4 linked regions of the Drosophila melanogaster genome follow. The protein of the gene in region 4 purifies or fractionates together with the protein of the main gene of each other region. This does not show direct contact. Each region holds a gene or a part of one and is shown on either strand. Other genes may lie near its edges. The genes, in order: Nipped-A, Taf10, Taf5 and Ada3.

Region 1 (4,961 bases), on a different chromosome or scaffold from region 4:
AGAAGAGCGCGACAAGAAACAAATGTTCCTAATCGGTTCATCGCTAATACGGTGGCAGTGGCTACGAGCATAACATCCTTACTAAGATTCTGAGCAAGAAGAGTAGCAGACGTTACGCAGAGTGCAGATGTGAATCAGAAAAAAGTTCGAACCTTTTTGCTAATTTTAATTGATCAGACGGGGTCAGGTTTTTAGGGCGCTCCCAGGAGCATTACAGAAGGCACATGTTGAAGGGCTGAGACTTGGGGCAAGAAGGGCGGAACTACGGAACTCAGATGTTGTATTACATTCTACCTATGGCGCATAGCTTGCCAATGCGAAATCCAGTCTCCAGAGTCCTGCTGCTTCAAGTCTTCCAAATGCTCCTCCTATTTGGGCTGACTCGGCGTGTCCAGCTATTACTTGGGCGATATTGCAATTCAGCGATTTGTTCGATATTTCCAGTTTAAAAACTCCCCCGAACAGAGGATTTAAGAGTCACGAGAATACATCAAATTATTTCCAATTTCGTAAAAAGCCAGTTCTTCGAGCTCGTTGAGATTTTTCTGTTTCTGAAGCTCATCGATTATCTCCAACCTCACGGACAGCAGCTTCCGTTATTTGTTGTACTTCCATTACATATTTGACCCACTTGGATGGTTCCGCTGCCGACAGCTTGGATATGATTGCCAAAATTGATTTACATTTTCTACAATATTTGGCCATTGCCTCTCCTTTCGTTATACATACATGCTTTACATTATGCCTTTCTGTGAACTCCTTTTACGCAATCGAGGTAAATGCTGAGCCTGTATCGATTACAATACATGTTGGAAAGCCAAAAATACTTGACCAGTCGTGTAATCGTCGTCCTGCTGGGCTTTTTTAATACGTAATCTCTGTAGTAACCCTCATACTCTATGGAAAGCGACTAAGGCAGTCAACATGCTTAATTTTTTCTGCGGCACGGTGTTCTACTGTAAAAGTGAAGTCTTGAATTTACATAATCCATGGTCCTACATCTCTCGGTACGTCTTGTTTGGTTGTAGTCTGCTAAAAAGCGACACAATCTGTAATGAGCTTGAACTATATTCCTAGCAGGTAGTGACGAAACTTCTTCATACCTATGTACGCTGCTTTGTCTTCTTAGTAATAGCTATGTCGCTTTCATTCGGCTTCGGAAGTCTTCCTGCTCCAATAATAAACCGGATGAAAACTGCCGTCCACCATCTGCCGCAACACAGCTCCAAATTCATCCTTTAAAGAGCCACTGTGTAGTTCTGTCTCTGCATCTCTTGTGTAAATTTGCCGTACGGGAATGTCTGAGTCGTCTTTTAATTGCTGTATGGCTTAATGTTCACCAATGTAGAAAAGTGCATCTTTTTTCAAAAAAAATTTTCAGCGGACGCGCGATTAAAGCATATCCTGGAACAAATTTTCTGAAAAATCCTGTTAGCCCCAGAAATGATTGTACAGCTTTAATATTTTTTGGCCTGCCACATTTGCCCACCTTCAATGGCATGTCCCAAAAAGTCAATGCGAGTTTGCAAAAATCTGCTCCTTTTCAATTTGAGGCGGTACTACGCAAACAGGTTCTACGGCGACATTGTAGATTGCAGCATAATCTCGTATAAACCATTATTTTCCTTATCCCGCAAAAAAGTATATCCATGCAATGTCTTAAAACAATGATATTTTTTCCCTTTTTTGATCGCACGTTTCGGACATCATTGGACAAAACTCTAGTAAAATTTATTTCTTAGATTTGAGATGTGAGGCGGGTGAATATAAGAAGGCACATTAAAAATCTTCTAATCCGTGCCAGATATAGCCACCGCCAACTGATGCAAAATGGAGTCATTATGGAACAGTATCATCCGTATCAGCGTAAACACTTAAAGCCTAACTTTGATGACATATTTTATTATATATGATTATACCCGTTGCTCGTAGAGTAAAAGCAAAAAAAAAACCTTTAGTTTACATTATTCGGTAACTCCGCTTTGGATACTGCTTGTTTGCATTAGGTGGAGTCTCCCTCTCTGCTTATTCTTTTATCTGAGAACAGTGCTGAATATGTAAGCAGGCCCCAGACAACATGGGTTAAGAAACTTCCGCTGATCAGGATCACTAGCCGAGTCTACAGAGACTTAGTCGCATGTTACCCCGCCGGCAAGCTGTTCAAAACACCCCACGCCCACATATTTGAGAAATCTGTTGAATTTTTTATTTTATGTGACTTTCAAATTTTTATTGGTTTGCCAAACATAATACTACCTAAGAAAACCTACGGACGTAATAAATAATAAATGTGTTTCAAATTTTAAAATTAATGAAGTCGACATCGATAATAAAAATATACTCTTTTTTTGCAATCAAAGTTATGCTTTAAATAATACTTCTTCTGGCAATGTATGCATAATATCTGCGCAAAACTTAAAGTTGCGTAGCACAAACACAATGCACGGTCGTTTTAAATATCAGAAACAGTGGTTTTCAGTTTTAAAAGATTGTTACTAGGGCACCGAAAGGTTTCCCTATAGTACTATATAGATAGCTTTACATAAATAAGTATATAAAATATATTAATAAAATAATTGTATTGTACAAACATAAAAGTTCCGATTATTGGGAGTTACAAATGTAAACACAAAATATTTTCAACTTTGCATTTTAAAAGATAACTACATATATTTAAGCCGAAATTCATTGACAGTTATTTCAACCAAACATGGTTTCTTCATTTAAGGCCCATGCAATGGTGAATTTTAAAACTTACGTGTTGCATTGTATTTTCTTGAATGAACTGAGGTTCGCCATCCTGAAGTATCCGCATAAATATTTTTAAAGAATTATCTAAGAACGACGGATATGCCGGACTTTGCATTATCATTTCAAAGTGTTCACTTAGCTCTTGAGTAGCTTTCAGCTTAAGTTCGTCTTTAGAAGAGGAATCATTTAAAATATTTAAATAATTCCGAAATGTATTCACCGGTACATTTTCAATAACCGACATTGTGCCTTTTAACTCGTTCAACAACTTGACCGCTGTAAACAAAAAGGAATAGTCGGAAATTGTATGACCGATATATTCGATTTAATTGTTTGTCAAGATAGCATATAAGAAATTTTGAAACAGGAACGCAAAAATATTTTAGAAATGCTTCAATTTTTTATATAATATAGAGCTCCCACAGAGATGCATCTATATTAAACCTTTCACAACCTTCAGTGTTAAAAATTGGCACGGAATTAATTCCATCTTATTTGCATGTTTACTGCAGGATACAGGCTTGTCTATCTTTAAGTTAAATTTAAATGTTTTTTATTGCTATTTTATTTCAATAACTGTGTTATTCTATAAATATTTACGTGTAGGGAAATCAACATACAAAATACTAAATAATGTGTATTGTTAGTGATGGATTTAATCACAAGAACATTTAGCTCCGTTTATTTGTGGATGTAGTAATAATTCGGTATAACTAGATTTTTTATTATGTTCTTTAATATAGTCGGTCGAAATGCTCGGATTATTACTTCAATGGTATAATAAATAAAGGAGTGCCAATATTTCAATATTCAATATTCAATATTCAATGGTGGGTCATATCGTCATAGATGACGAAAGAAACGGATAAACCAAATTCATTTTTTCAATAAGGAGCTAATCCAGCTTCATTTAGACTTATTTACCTTGAATTGAAGGCCTGTCAAATTACTTATGCCGAAACAAAAAATCATCATATTTCATTAAGTTTCTTATAACTTTTTAAATTTAAATAAAAACAATTTCGTTTGTTCATTTTTAAGTTTATATTAATTACACACAAAAAATAAAAAATAGTCAATACTACCATATCAAGCCATTTAAAAGTTTCACTGACAAGTGTGCAGCTTTTTTTTGTCAAAATACTTATGCCGACTAGTGTATATTTCAAAAGATCCCTGTGGCGGCCGGCATTGCAATCAACTAAGCATCGGAACGCGACGTTGACACCTAACACTCCAGTGCGGTCGATCGAGCGATCGAACTGCAAGACTTCTAATTATTGAAGGCAATATTAATAATATGACTTCAATGACTTCAACCGACAGCCAAGTGAACTGAAATAAATAAGCTGAGTAATGGTATAAGCCAAAGCATATTAAGAAAAGCAAGATAAAGAATTTTGAAGCCGAGCTCTACAGAGAGGAGCTGTGGTACAAGCCAAAACATATAAAAAAAGAAATTAATAAAAACACATAAACAAATAAATCTAAAAATAGAAGAAAAGAAATTATTACCAGCTATTAAGAAAAGAGCTAGGTAATTAATCTGAGTTCCATAAAAAAATAATAATAATATAAAGGTCGGGTGGAGCAGGCTACCCTCCGCAAGCCAAAGAAGAAACAACAAACAAACAAACGAAAACAACTAATCCCCAAATGTAAATCGGGGATATTATTGAATTAGGGATGGGTAATAATTACAAGACAAATTAAACATCTAATAGTTGTTTTCGTTATAAACCCCAACTCTAGGTCCCATATTGGAAATAAAACCATTGTCATAAAACCGTTTCAGTGCGAGGCGATCGACGGGCAACCCTCCGAAATGAATGGAAGAAATGGCTACGGGCTTTTACAATATATCTCGACGCCGAGGCAGAACTCAACGTTTGAGAGACAAGTATTTAGTATTTAATCTGATCGAAATCATCCTTGCGACAAGACAAGTCAGGACATGTCTTGCGTCATCTCCTGGATCTCCACAATATACGAGTCTAATTCCTTGACGTTTACGAATAGATCAGCCAATTAAACCGCTGTGGAAAGTTTTAATCTTGGAATTGTTAAGGCCCATAGTGAAGTAACTCCTGGCTTGGCACAGGGCAGATGGATTTTCTATTATCTATAAGTCTTCGATTGCAAGTATAAGCACGCTCCACAAACTGATAGGTAGCATCACAGAATCCATGCAATTCAACGGAAGCCTTAGG
Region 2 (2,937 bases), on a different chromosome or scaffold from region 4:
GGTGGCGAGCGCAAGTACAACGGCATGATCGACTGCGCCGGCAAGCTATACAAGGAGGGTGGACTTCGCAGCGTTTTCAAGGGCAGCTGCGCCACAATGCTCAGGGATTTGCCCGCCAACGGGCTGTACTTCCTGGTCTACGAGGCGCTGCAGGATGTGGCCAAGTCGAAGTCAGAGACGGGACAAATCAGTACTGCCTCAACGATTTTCGCAGGTGGAGTGGCGGGCATGGCCTACTGGATTCTGGGCATGCCAGCCGACGTGTTAAAGAGCCGCCTACAATCGGCTCCCGAAGGCACCTACAAGCACGGCATACGCAGTGTCTTCAAGGATCTGATTGTCAAGGATGGACCTCTGGCCTTGTACCGCGGCGTGACGCCCATCATGCTCCGAGCCTTCCCAGCCAACGCTGCCTGCTTCTTCGGCATTGAGTTGGCTAACAAATTCTTTAACATCGTAGCTCCAAATTTCTAGTTTGTCTAATAAAGAAAGTGCCTCGCTAAAATGTTTTTACAACTTGAAGAAAACTAGCTATATTTGTGTGCCCAATTCAAAACTTTAGAGCTTAACTAAATCTAAACGAAATACTGCGGCTTGCGCATGGTGATGCCGTGGTCCGCGAGTGCCGGCACCAGGTCCTCCATGGCCAGCGTGTACTTCCTGTCCTTGGGGTTTTTCTTGTCCTTGCTGGAACTGTGTCCGCTGGAATGCTGGATGTTCGTGGTGCGCGTCTTGCAGTGCTGCAGTGCGTCGTTGGCAATATCCGAGATGAACTTCTGCGCGGACACCGAGACGAGGCGCACTATCTTGGGGTCCACTGTGCAGAAGCCAGCCTGCAGATTTAATCCAATATTAGAAATGCTACAAAGAATAGTTTCCGGTATATAGCTACCGTTTTCAAGATGTGCATGGTGAGGGCGTCTGGTATGGTGGGCGAGTAGTCCTCCAGCTGCTTTATCAGCTCATCCATCTCCGATTCCTCCGTCGTCAGAGGAACCTCCTCCACGTCCGGTTGCTCCTCGTCGGAATGCAGTTCGGACTGCATTAGTGGCGAGTCTATATCCTCCTCCTCGGTGTCCGTGGCCGATGTTACGGATTCTGCGGGTGTAACACTGATGTCCTCGCCATCGGAAGCCATTGTTTTCCACTTTTTAATTGTTTATTTCCAGAAATTTGTTATCTCAGCTGGCGTGTATATGTGTGTATGTTTATATTGTAATCGATGACGAACCGTAAGAAGAATCGATAGCACTGGCAGCAACAATACGGAATAATTCGATAACTAGCATCTCCCATCACTACGTCTGCACTGTGTTTAATTTGTATTGTACACTTTTTTCGATGGTGGGCTCCAATTTCGGAATTATTTACCACAACAGCGCCGGTGGCGCAAGCAGTCATGGACAATCCTCGGGAGGAGGTGGCGGTGGAGATCGGGATAGGACCACACCATCTTCGCATCTCAGCGACTTCATGTCGCAGCTGGAAGATTATACTCCATTGATTCCGGATGCGGTCACCTCGCACTATCTCAACATGGGAGGCTTTCAGTCGGACGACAAGCGCATCGTTCGGCTGATCAGCCTAGCCGCCCAGAAGTACATGTCCGACATCATCGACGATGCACTGCAGCACTCCAAGGCGCGCACCCATATGCAAACCACCAATACACCGGGAGGATCGAAGGCCAAGGACCGCAAGTTCACCTTGACCATGGAGGATCTGCAGCCGGCTTTGGCCGACTACGGTATTAATGTTAGGAAAGTGGACTATAGTCAGTAGATAATGGCATGCATTGTAGTAGTTTTTTTCTCATTAAAAATAATGTATCTTAAGATCTGTGTTTTGGGAATTTATTGCGAAAGACCTTGGGATCTTAATGCATTCTCATTCTTTCAAGAAATCCATTTAGTAAAGGGATTTAAGTCCATAGAATGCGTAACTAATCGAGCATATACAAGGTAATTTGTTTTTTTTTATAATGTTATACAAAAGCTATTAACTAGGCGGTTAATACTAGGAGTATGTTTACTGGCATGTTATGAATTTTCTGAAACTGCGAGATGTTCCTCCAGCCACCCGGAAGGCCAGGACTCCCGTAAGTATGGTGACCAAGTAGTTTATCAGCAGAGTGGTCGTGTAAAGCTCATTGGCATTGAGCAGAGTTATCAGGGAGACGAACAGGTGGCTGAAAACCACATAGCCTATGTGGATATAGTTGTTTGTGTCGAATGCGTTGAAGAAAATAACGCTCCAGAAGGTGTGCAGCAGGATAATCGACAACGCCTGGGCAGCCGAGGTGACGAAGAATAGCTCAGTTCCGCCCTTCAAGCCCATGGTGCCGGGACCACTCTAAAAACCAAAAGATCTGTCATTGCTCGGAGCACATTACGCACCTTTGCTGCACTCACCATATCAGCCAGCACATTGACCAGTGCAAACATCCCGGATATAATGCCGAATCCCAAGCCGGAGACATAGGCCAGGATGTGCTTGTTGTCCGTCACTCGCGTGTCCTCCGCCACGGCGTGCAATCCCTGCTCCGTGCTGCGCAGTATCCGGTAGATGATGTACCGGAAGGCTTCCTGGAAGCACACCGAGAAGACCACGCCAAATGCCAGGAACTCCTTCAGCGGAATCAGGGCATACCACAGGGAAGAGATCAGCAGGGAAAGCAGCCAGAAGAATGCCGCCGCAATCAGAATGATGATCCGCACTGGATCATTGGCGATGGTGAAGACGAACAAGGCGAAGGGCGGTCCGAAGGCGATGAAGGTGCAGCCAAAGAACTCGGGCAACGTCATCTTGTCTTTGTATTATTACTGTTTTTTCTTTTGCTCTGTGGGTGTTTTGGTTTACTTGGGAAGAGGAAGCAGAGACTCGCATAGAGTTGCCAGACTTTTGCAGTGCCATTCGGGCTGCCACACTGTACGTTTT
Region 3 (4,844 bases), on a different chromosome or scaffold from region 4:
TGAAGTGGAGAAGGTCCTGTGGCATCCCACACAGACCGACTACTTCATCGTGGGCACCAACGATGGCACCTTGCATTACGCCGACAAACGTTCTCCTGGACAACTGCTGTGGTCCGTAAAGGCCCACAACGAGGAAATCTCCGGTGTGTGCTTCAACAACCAGAAGCCTAATCTGCTGACCTCCACCTCCACGGAGGGCACCCTAAAGGTGTGGAACTTTGATGGCACAGAGGCAAAGCACGTCTACGAGCACGAGTTCAACATGGGTCGCTTGCAGTGCATGCGCCAGTGCCCCGAGGATCCCTACACCCTGGCCTTCGGCGGAGAGAAGCCTCCGCGCTGTGCGATCTTTAACATCAAGAACTCGATAGCCGTGCGCCGAACGTTTGGAATCCCTGATGCAGAGTAGGCAAATCGTACAGCTACGTATTTATCTGTGTATATGCTTTATATGACTTTTAAATAAATATGAATTATATATAAGAACCTTAATGATTGACTTTTATATTAATTAAAATTTATTGATAACTTGCGCATATATGCACTTTACACTTTTATGCTTAAACAACTAATCGACATTTCAGGGGGGATGGGTCACAAACGAAATACAAAACATTAATCCTAAACATTCCGAGCATTCCTTAACACTACATTACGTATACCAAATAAGCTTATCTGTGCTCCTAACTCTTGAATAGACCCACGCACATCAGGAGATTTCGGCGCGTAAAGTGCAGGCTGACAAATGGCGAGTTCTTGCTGGGGAAAGTACGCATGAGGTAGACGTCCTCGTCGTTCTCATCCTGATGGTGCGACACAGTGATGTGATTGCTGATATAGTCTTCGGTAACCTTGTGAAAGTCCCACAGAGTTAGATTGTTATCCAAGCCGGCTGCAGCCAGGACTGTTCCATCGCGACTAAAGGTGATCGTGGTCACAGTGCTAGTGTGCCTCAACAGGGTGGTGACCAGGGATCCGTTCGACAGATCCCAGATGATGATATTGTGATCTACTGAACCCGAGGCCAGATACCGGCCGCAGGCGGAGAAGGCCAGAGAACTCACCGATCCCTTGTGGCCCGTCATCAGGCGTACCGACTGACCGGTCATGTTGTCCCACAGGCGTACCGTGCGATCGCTAGAACCGGTGGCCACATAATTGGAATTGGGATGAAATTGTACACAATCCACGTCCGACAAGTGACCCACGAATACGCGCAACGCTTGATTGGAATCCGTGGCCCACAGACGAGCAGTTTTGTCGTACGAACAAGAAACAAAATAGTAGCCATGCGGCGCAAAGCGAACATCCCACACCGGGTAAACGTGCCCGCGGTAGGTGACTACGCAGGACCAGGTGAGCAGAGACCACAGCCTTATGGTGCTGTCCTCGGAACATGAGAGCAACAGGTTCATCTCGGGGGCAAAGGCACAGCGGTATACGGGTCCGGTGTGACCCATTAAGCTCCTGGTTACCTCACCACTTCGGTCATCCAGCATACGCACATTGATATCCGCCGATTCCTTGTCCAGTTCGCGAAGGGAATCTGCATCCTTCAGCGTACGCAGCTTCGCGGGCGTCAATGACCAAATCCTCACGCTAGAATCGCCAAATCCACAGGCCAACATCGTGGAATCGTCTGAAATCTCGGCACAGGTTACGCCCTGATGGGAATTAAGCACCGTGTAGAAGACGGCAGAGGGCAGTTGATCCTTGCTGAGGGCTAAACGCTTGCTGGCTTCCCTGAGAGCCTTAAGCTTTAGCAACTTGTCCGAATCCTTCAGTTCCGGCAGGGGAATTCTGTCGATGGATGGAGCATTCGGATCCGACTTGGACTTTTTCGACAGCAGGGGATCCTTTTTTGGCTTTTTCTTTTTCGGACGATCCGGGGCATCCGGATCATCGTCCTCCTCCTCTGGTGCCGGCGCTGGAGTGGTCAGAGTCTGAAAGTCCACCTCCTTGAGCAGTCCGTAGTACACCCGCATTTTGTTGTCCTGTCGCTTGGCCTCTCCGAGGTGCGAGCCCGCGGTGGCGACGCACTGCAGCTTGTTGCGCGCCATGCCCTCGTATGTGTCGAAATGCAAGTACTTGGAAACAATATCTGCCACCACTTCCTGCCGGCGATCCTGAATGTGTCGCTTGAACAGAGAGTGCGAGTCCCTGGACATGCGAATGACAAACTTATCCTGCTCCATGGCTACTACGAGGTCATTCTCCAGCAGCTCCTCGGGCTTAGACAGCAAAAGAAGGTTGAAAAGACCCTCTATGTAGTAGCCGTCGAGATCGCATTTGTACTTCTCAATGAATTCTTTGGCCTTCTCCCTTAGTCCACTGGCGAGGATCTTGAAGTAGATCTGCACCAGAATTGGGTACAGAACCATGGACAGCTCATGCTTGTATATGTCCAGGGAGTCCTCAACGAAAGTGCGCAGCTCCTTGTATGCCTGCTCATAGTGCTGAGCATCAAAGCTGTCGTCGTCGATGAACTTGGCCAGTTCCTCTGCAGCATTGGCCTCCGTCACCGCGGACTGTTTATGACCCTGCGCCGGAGATTGGACATGTTTCCGCTCCCGGTTGGCATCGCCAGCTCCCAAAACTGCGCCCAGCACCTGCTGAACATCACTTTCGCTGATTTCCGACAATTCCACACTGCTCACATTCGCCTCTTGGCAGAGCAGCTCCTCAGTGCTCTTCAGCTGGTACTTTTTGATGAGTTTCAGCAGGCACAGCAGCTCACGCTTGTCGTGGGACAATTGAGTACCGTTTCCCCCGTTTATATTGCTCACTTCCAGGCTCATTTTCGCGGAAAATTGAAATATATGGAACTTGTGTACTATTTTGTTATGCGTGGAAAAGTGTGACCAGGTTGGCATCGGTTGAAAACGGCCAAGTGGAGAATGAAATATACTAAAATGCACCAAGTACAGTCAAAATATACAGTAGCCACTAGCGAAGACGGATTCTAAAAATAAATTGTATTAATACATTATAAATTATATCTTTTTGCCAATTTTTGGAATTACTTAAAATATAATGACATATTTCATTCTTTCATTTTACTACAAAATTAATATTTAACTTTTATGCAGGTCAAAGAAATTATTTGAAGATGTGCTTATAAAGGTCTTACTGTGGACAGCTGACTGAATACTTTTAGTATTTTTTGAGCAAATATCTTACCAGAATCAAAACATTCGTAATGAAGAGGAGAGTAATTGTGAAAAAGGTAAAATACAAAGTAACTGGCCAAATAAACAAGCTAATTTTTATAGCAGAGGGTAATAATTTGCTGTGCATTAACAGAATTAACTTGCCATTGCATATTTCAGTGTATTTGTCTGGCGCCTATCCCCCAACTCCTTGAACTTTGACACCGCCTCCTCGAAATTAACCCTTGTACTCGTGCTTTCTGTTGTGTTTAGTCCATATTTATTGTAAAAAATGAATGAAAATGATGATGCGGTAGGTCCATATGTAACATTTAAGCCATATTAGCTAATATCGTGATCAATTCCCGCAGAAAAAAGTCGTCGGCAAGCGGAATTCGGTGTCGTTCGATCAACAAGATCCAGGACAGCCGAGATTTAGCTTCTCTGGGAGAGTACAGGAGCTAGTCGAGGGCTACAATTCGGCCATACAGCTGCTGGCGCCCAAGTGGCCCTGGTTCCTCTACCCCGGATATCTGACATACGCCGTATACTGGCGTTACGCCAAATATTACAAGGGCAAGTTTCTGCTGACCCCCATTCCGAACCGCCTCTACGATCTGCTGATCAAGAACGAGCAGATTAAGTCGGAGCACCTGGTGTTCGCCAGTCAGGAGGTGTACGAAAACTATGCGGAATCGCCGGACGTCAACTTTGTCAACTTGGTTATCCGCGGCAGGAGGGTAAGAATCGGTAAGCCGCTAGCTTCAGACGAAGGAAATATGACCCAAACGGTTATCAAGCAAATGCTCCAGGAGGCGCCGCATACGATTGTGGCCCAGATCTTGCCGGCTGCACAGTGCCAACCCAATTGTCTGTACGTTCAGGTGGGTATCTAGTTCTAAATAAATGGAATATTTTCTATAATTCTACATCGTGTAAAATTTCAGGAGAACTTCTACGGCAACATATTGGATCGCTTTCAAATCCGCTCCAACTGCTGGGTGCAGGTAGAGCATTTTGCCGATGAGCAGACAATACCTGGAATAGCAACCAAAGCACATGTGTACTTAGTCGCAGATCCCCATGAACTTCCCGCCGAACTGACAGAGGTCATCCTGAGCAACTATTTCAATACACCTCGACTCATGCATCGTGGACATACCTACCGCATCGAGGTGAACGCAGAGTTGGTGGGCACTGCGACTTATGCCCACTATTACCTGATATTCGCTCACCTACGCCACGTCCACCTAAAGTGTATTCACCTGGAGACAAAGGGCAGCGAGTTCGAGCTGCAAGCGATTGTTGCCAAAAACTTTAGCAACCTTGTTCAAGTGCCTGCATCTCACAGTTTCCTGCCTCGTCAAGTGCTTGACAGCATGGCCATCGTTGAGAACTATCCAAGTGGACTTCGAAAGCCCTATAAGCTGTTGCGCTCCTCAGTAGATGCTTTCCTGCCAAAAAAGTCCGCCTGCCTGTCGTCAAAGCACATATTTCCTGTGTTCCTCCTGCAAGGCGAGCGAGGATCGGGCAAATCAAAGCTTGTGAGCGCCGTAGCCCAAGAGTTGGGGATGCATATTTACGGAGCAGATTGCGCAGAGATCGTTTCGCAAGTTCCCTCCCACACGGAGATGAAGCTAAAAGCCGTATTTGCCAAGAGCCAAGTTTGTGAACCGCTTATGATTTGCTTCCATA
Region 4 (5,137 bases):
AAAGACTGTGACTGCGTTTGTGATACGGGATCGGGTGGCGGGCGAAAGGGATCGACCAGTCAAGCAAGATGCACCGCGGCATACATGAAGTACAATGAATCTTTATACCCACAAACATCATCTAGCATACATTCAGAGGAAGGCCACTGACGACGTGTTCACCCAAGACTAAAAACTTGCACATATTAGAAGATCAGATTTGACTGCCATTTGCTACGTATAATAAAGTTTGTTTCTGGATATATTTGCCTGGCGATTAGCGTTCTAGAGATAGCCAATCCGCGTGGCCCGGAAGGGCTTCCTCCGATCGAAGATGGCCGGCTCGCTTGTTTGGCTTTAATTAGCCGTACGCTGGAGTTGCCGACTTTGATTGCGCCTTATCGGCTGGGCAAACAAGATCGAAGCAACGGCAGAGGATTCCCCACATCCGCTGGAGTTCACTTGCCCGCTTCGTCGGCCAGATCGAGCTCAAAGCGTACGCAGCGTTCGCCCAGCGCGGTGGTTTCTCTCCTCCCAAACTCACTCCCATGGTGGAAAATTCTGTGCTTTACTCTCGATAGTGACGACTTTATTGCCGCGCGATAACTTAAGCTATACAAAGTGTATGTATTTGGGAGTGTTAAATAGGGTGAATCAATATTTATAGTTGCGAAAGACATGAGGAAAACAACGTGCTCGTAAAATTTTGGGAAATTCCAGTAGCGGAAAGTTTTTCAGTTCATTTAGCGAATAATGCGAATCTCACCCTCCACTTTTATGTACACAAAATCAAATTTAGCATTTAGCATGTAAAATCTACGGATATCCATTTAATTTTCAGGCAATTACAAACAAATTGGCAAAAAACTGTAGGCTTACAGAATACGGAATACGTTACTAAGCAAGGAAAGGGAAATTATGATTTTGTAAAAGAACAGTTTAAAATACGCAAACGCTACTCTCCGCCACTTGAAGATCTTATCTAAATAATTAATTTCACTTTAATCTTGAACACTACATTCTATGAGCTAATGTATCTTTGTTAATGTACAGTCTGGTGACGAAGATAAGAATACGGGTTTGGAAGCTAGTCGAAAACGACTCAAAAGTGGCGTTCGATTTGGGGAAAACGAATGCCAAAACTCGAGGAAAACTTATGCAAAACATTTTCCGCCACCATGAGCGCATCTTCCCAAAACGTCCACAACTTGGATTGCGGACACTAGAGGCTACGTGTACGTGTCGAATAGCGTGGCTAATTTACAGTCTGGCGAAATGAAAGGAGTGGCGAGTAAGGAGGAGCAGCTCCTTCAGACGCACTGCAGCTTGAGGCTAGCGTCGCGGACCTGCCTCTTTGCCTGATGCATGGCCATTAGCTGGCACCAGCCCCAGGCCAGGCTCCTGTCCTACATCTTTGGCTCTAACAGGGAGTTGCCGGAGCCGCCGATGCAGGGCAGATGCATCTGCATACGCTCCAGCTGATCCGCAAGTAGGCGCTGCTCGTTGGTCAGCCGCAGTATCTCCTGCTTCTCCTCGATGGTGTGGCCCTTGCGCTTGGCCCGATACTGCAGCATTCGCTTGTAGCACTCGAGTATCTCCTGGTCCACCATGTCCAATTTCTGTTTGATGGCAATGCGCTTGATTTCCTCACTGGCAACGGCACGCAGTCGCTTCAATTCCTCGCTGTTAAACTGCGAAATGGTGCTGATTTCGGTCGTTACGCGCTTGATCTCCATCAGCACCTCGTCCACGTCTTCGTGGGCCGCAAACTCACTGGCATCGATCAGTCCGTTCTCGATGAGAGTCTTCTTCAGGCGCTGTTCGATGCCCACGCCGTGTTTCATCATGGCGAGAGATCGAAAGTTCCCGGAAGCAGCTGCTGCGGCAGCATTTGCCGAGGACGAGGAGTGCGAGTGGGTGTTCTCGTTGCTGCTGCTCGTGGTGCTGTTGCTGTGCTCGCCCACGGCGGCCTGTTCGCTGGGCAGCGTCATCAGGGACTCCTCCATTAAGGCGGACACCAAACGCTGGGTGAGTGGACCAGTGATGCTCTCATCCACCATGCCTTCGGCCTTTTTGAGCATTCCGCTGGAATTGTTCGATTTAATTCGAGCTCCGCCCGGCTGCAGCGCCTTTATATCCTCCTGGGCCCAAACTGTGGAGTAGTGGGGACCCAGAGGTGGCACTGGCGGCACCAGTGGACCCCAATACTGCTCCAGCAGGTCATCGATTAGGCGCAGATCCTCGTTGGTTAGAGGCATGCAGTAGGGCTCCACGGATAGCCAGAACTTGTTGGGCGTATCGTTCTTGGGCACCGTCATTTTCGGTAGCTGCGGCAGCGGCTGGTGATGCGGCAGCACGGATCCAGAGGCATTGGCGGCCGCCAGTGTGGGCAGATAGTCCATGCTGTCGTCGGTGTGCACGACCAAGGGGCTGTTCTTGGCCTGGTGCTTCGAGGTGCCGCCGGAAACGCCCTGTTGCTTGAGAATGGTCATCGAAGAGTGCTTTTTGCGCACGCCCGTTGGCTCATCCCGCTTGCGCTTCGATTGGCTAGAGGATGAGGCGCCTCCGCCGCCCAGCGGGCTGCCCAGACTCGTCGACGAGTTGCTGCCGATGCCCAGCAAGCCGTTGAGCATGCTAGCCGGACAAGGTGGCGATCCAGGCACACGGTCGAGCTTTCTTCGATCCTGGCGCTTCTCATCCTTGTCGAGGCTATCATACTCCGCTTTCAGGACGCGCGTGCGCAGCGCCACATTGGAGAGCATCTGTTCCAGCTCCAGTTGCACTGCATCCAGATCCTCGGCCGCCAAATGATCATCCGCCGGACGCTGCAGTGCCGCTGCAATGGTGGGCAGCAATTTGGGCACGTCCCGAGTGCGAATTATTGGTATAACGACGCCGCCGGGCGTGGCCAGCACCTCGGAGTCCAGGAAGGTGCTCGTTGGGGCGGATTTGCCGCCACCTGTGCCATTTGTGGGCAGTTTTCCAGCTCCTCCGGATGACGCAGAGATGCCAAAGCCACCGGAACCGAGCGAACCACTGAAGTGGGCCAGTTTGATATTCTTCAGGTTCGCACTCATGGAACGCGACTGCGACTGGTTGGGGACCTGTGTGTTAGCTAGATTGCGGATATATTTGCTGTTTTTCCTGCTTTTCTTGTGTTGTGAAAATCGCAATTTGTTTTGCGTCGATATGGCAGTGTGACCGTAGCGGAAGACGGGTAAATACTAATGTACAAGATGGTAAAATACTGGAATGGGCTACACGCGCGGGTTATGCACAGTGGGCCAAACAAAAAAAATTCTCATGAGTAGCTAAATATTTATAATTTAAGACATACTTAACTAGCATTTCATTAATTAACTTTAGCAGTAATTGAAACTGTTTATTTGACTTTATTTCAGCAATTGAAGATAACGGAACATTATCGCATGGATACATTTTCATACCACTTGATTTTATCCACAAAATAGTGAAAAATACTCTCTGCAACTATAACAGTGATCGTGCACAACAGAGCTGCTCCAGCGCTGTGCAACACTGGTGGCCGCGTAGCGCGCGTGCTTACCAATACTTTGCTTTTTTGTTCAGTTCTTTGTTGTTGTTTGGCGTTCGCATTTCGCCCGTCGTCGTCTGAATTTTTTAGTGATATGCGCGCTATTTCGGTGATAAGCAGTGTACTTAACAAATCAGCGACTGTTGACAATTTGTAATGGCCAGTGGGAGCAGCTTGCGATGTTAGAGTAGACCCATTCCCCCCCTTCCGCAGACGAACTGCAAGTGCAAACTGCAGTGTATGTATGTAATTTTATGTAATTGAACACCCATTTCCCAAACCCCACCCCCCCAAAATCCCACAAAGCATGCAAACACATCCAAACATTTGAACATCCAAGCACCCAAAACATCGAAGCATCCGATAATCTCGGACTGGTTGCCTCCAATTGCGCCTCGTTTGTCCAATTGTGAGGCGCAAATCACAAGACAAGTCGAATTGACGCTCAGCCGCCACGCCCCCTTCGCTGCTCACGACCACACCCCCCCTCCCCGCGGGCGGGAATCAACGAAAATCAAAAGCCAACATCCAGCGATTCAGTTCGGTTTAGTTGGGTTCAGTCGTGCCGACATATGCACAAATATCCCAGCTTCAAAACGCTGTTTCCCTTCGATTTGACTACACTTTCCCAACTGGGCATTTTCGCTATCAGAAGAGGTTTGCAATGCCACCTTTAAGCTATGATCTATCACCGAACTGCAAAAGTTTTTTATTTTCGTTCTACGCCAATTAACTTAACTTCGACTTGTCTATTTTACAATCAAAAAGTGCGAAGTGTATTGTTTAAGTTAAAATTCGATCCCCGAGAGTTTCGGTTCTAAAGATCCTAAAATAAACAGTGAAAACAATTTAATATAAATGAACAGCGGACAAAAGTGTTTTATTTAAGCTTGGTTTCATGTTTTGTATTCCATAAGATGTGTACATTAAAGAGAAGTGATATATTCGTTTCGAGTTTCTTTTGTTTGTTCTTCAATACAAAGATAAATACAAGCTTCCCCCATCTATTATCTCAAGTAAAAAGTGATCATCAGTCTATATAGTTCTTTGTTTCTTTAGTTAATTCTTTGTTTTTGCTATTTGCAATCTTGGCAATGTGAATATCATCTGGTAGATAGAACAACTGAAAATCGTAGCTAATTTGAATTTATATCTCGTCATAGAAAGGATAGTGTACACACAAACACGTTTGTTTTGCGAGATAATCCCATCGTGGATTGCACATAATATCTAGAACAATATGTCGAACAATAACCGCGGGCGGGTAAGGGTATTTGCAGTGCCGCCAAAACCTGAACAAACCCTCCGCTCTTGTTTTATTGATCAAATATTTGCGTCTACGTGTGTCGTCGTCGTCGTCGATGTGTTCCGTTCCGGCGATGTCTCAGCGATTATGGGGCTTTTGTGTGTCAGCTGTTGTTTGAAAACGGCACTAGCACATGTTTTATAAGCCCAGTCGCAGGCCAGTCGGCTCGTTATCAGTGCCAATTAAACCGGAGAAGAGAAATCTGTAACCACCGGCGATAGTGGCGATAAGGTCGCAGCCCTGAGATGATCGGGGATAGCTTCAGCGATGCACCCACCGGCTATGTCGATCGATCAGAG

The links.
Region 1: the proteins of Ada3 (region 4) and Nipped-A purify together in Drosophila melanogaster (affinity purification with western blotting; one study listed by BioGRID). This does not show direct contact.
Region 2: the proteins of Ada3 (region 4) and Taf10 purify together in Drosophila melanogaster (affinity purification with western blotting, with the first as the bait; one study listed by BioGRID). This does not show direct contact.
Region 3: the proteins of Ada3 (region 4) and Taf5 purify together in Drosophila melanogaster (affinity purification with western blotting, with the first as the bait; one study listed by BioGRID). This does not show direct contact.

The regions. Positions count from the first base shown.
Region 1 is NT_033778.4:5,247,971-5,252,931, forward strand, and holds the start of Nipped-A (Nipped-A), read right to left. Parts: upstream 3,053-4,961; 5' UTR 2,996-3,052; coding exon 2,759-2,995; intron 1-2,758. UniProt on the Drosophila melanogaster protein: Part of the Tip60 chromatin-remodeling complex which is involved in DNA repair. Upon induction of DNA double-strand breaks, this complex acetylates phosphorylated H2AV in nucleosomes and exchanges it with unmodified H2AV.
Region 2 is NT_033779.5:2,766,182-2,769,118, reverse strand, and holds Taf10 (TBP-associated factor 10), read right to left. Parts: upstream 1,230-2,937; 5' UTR 1,139-1,229; coding exon 893-1,138; intron 834-892; coding exon 576-833; 3' UTR 507-575; downstream 1-506. Other genes in the region: colt (congested-like trachea), read left to right, coding at 1-474; Taf10b (TBP-associated factor 10b), read left to right, coding at 1,342-1,782; aph-1 (anterior pharynx defective 1), read right to left, coding at 2,029-2,352, 2,412-2,804. UniProt on the Drosophila melanogaster protein: TFIID is a multimeric protein complex that plays a central role in mediating promoter responses to various activators and repressors.
Region 3 is NT_033778.4:10,876,808-10,881,651, forward strand, and holds Taf5 (TBP-associated factor 5), read right to left. Parts: upstream 2,867-4,844; 5' UTR 2,799-2,866; coding exon 684-2,798; 3' UTR 505-683; downstream 1-504. Other genes in the region: nclb (no child left behind), read left to right, coding at 1-409; Pex6 (peroxin 6), read left to right, coding at 3,200-3,226, 3,521-4,033, 4,097-4,844. UniProt on the Drosophila melanogaster protein: TFIID is a multimeric protein complex that plays a central role in mediating promoter responses to various activators and repressors. May play a role in helping to anchor Taf4 within the TFIID complex.
Region 4 is NC_004354.4:18,083,831-18,088,967, reverse strand, and holds Ada3 (transcriptional adaptor 3), read right to left. Parts: upstream 3,208-5,137; 5' UTR 3,057-3,207; coding exon 1,386-3,056; coding exon of another isoform or gene 1,290-1,385; 3' UTR 550-1,289; downstream 1-549.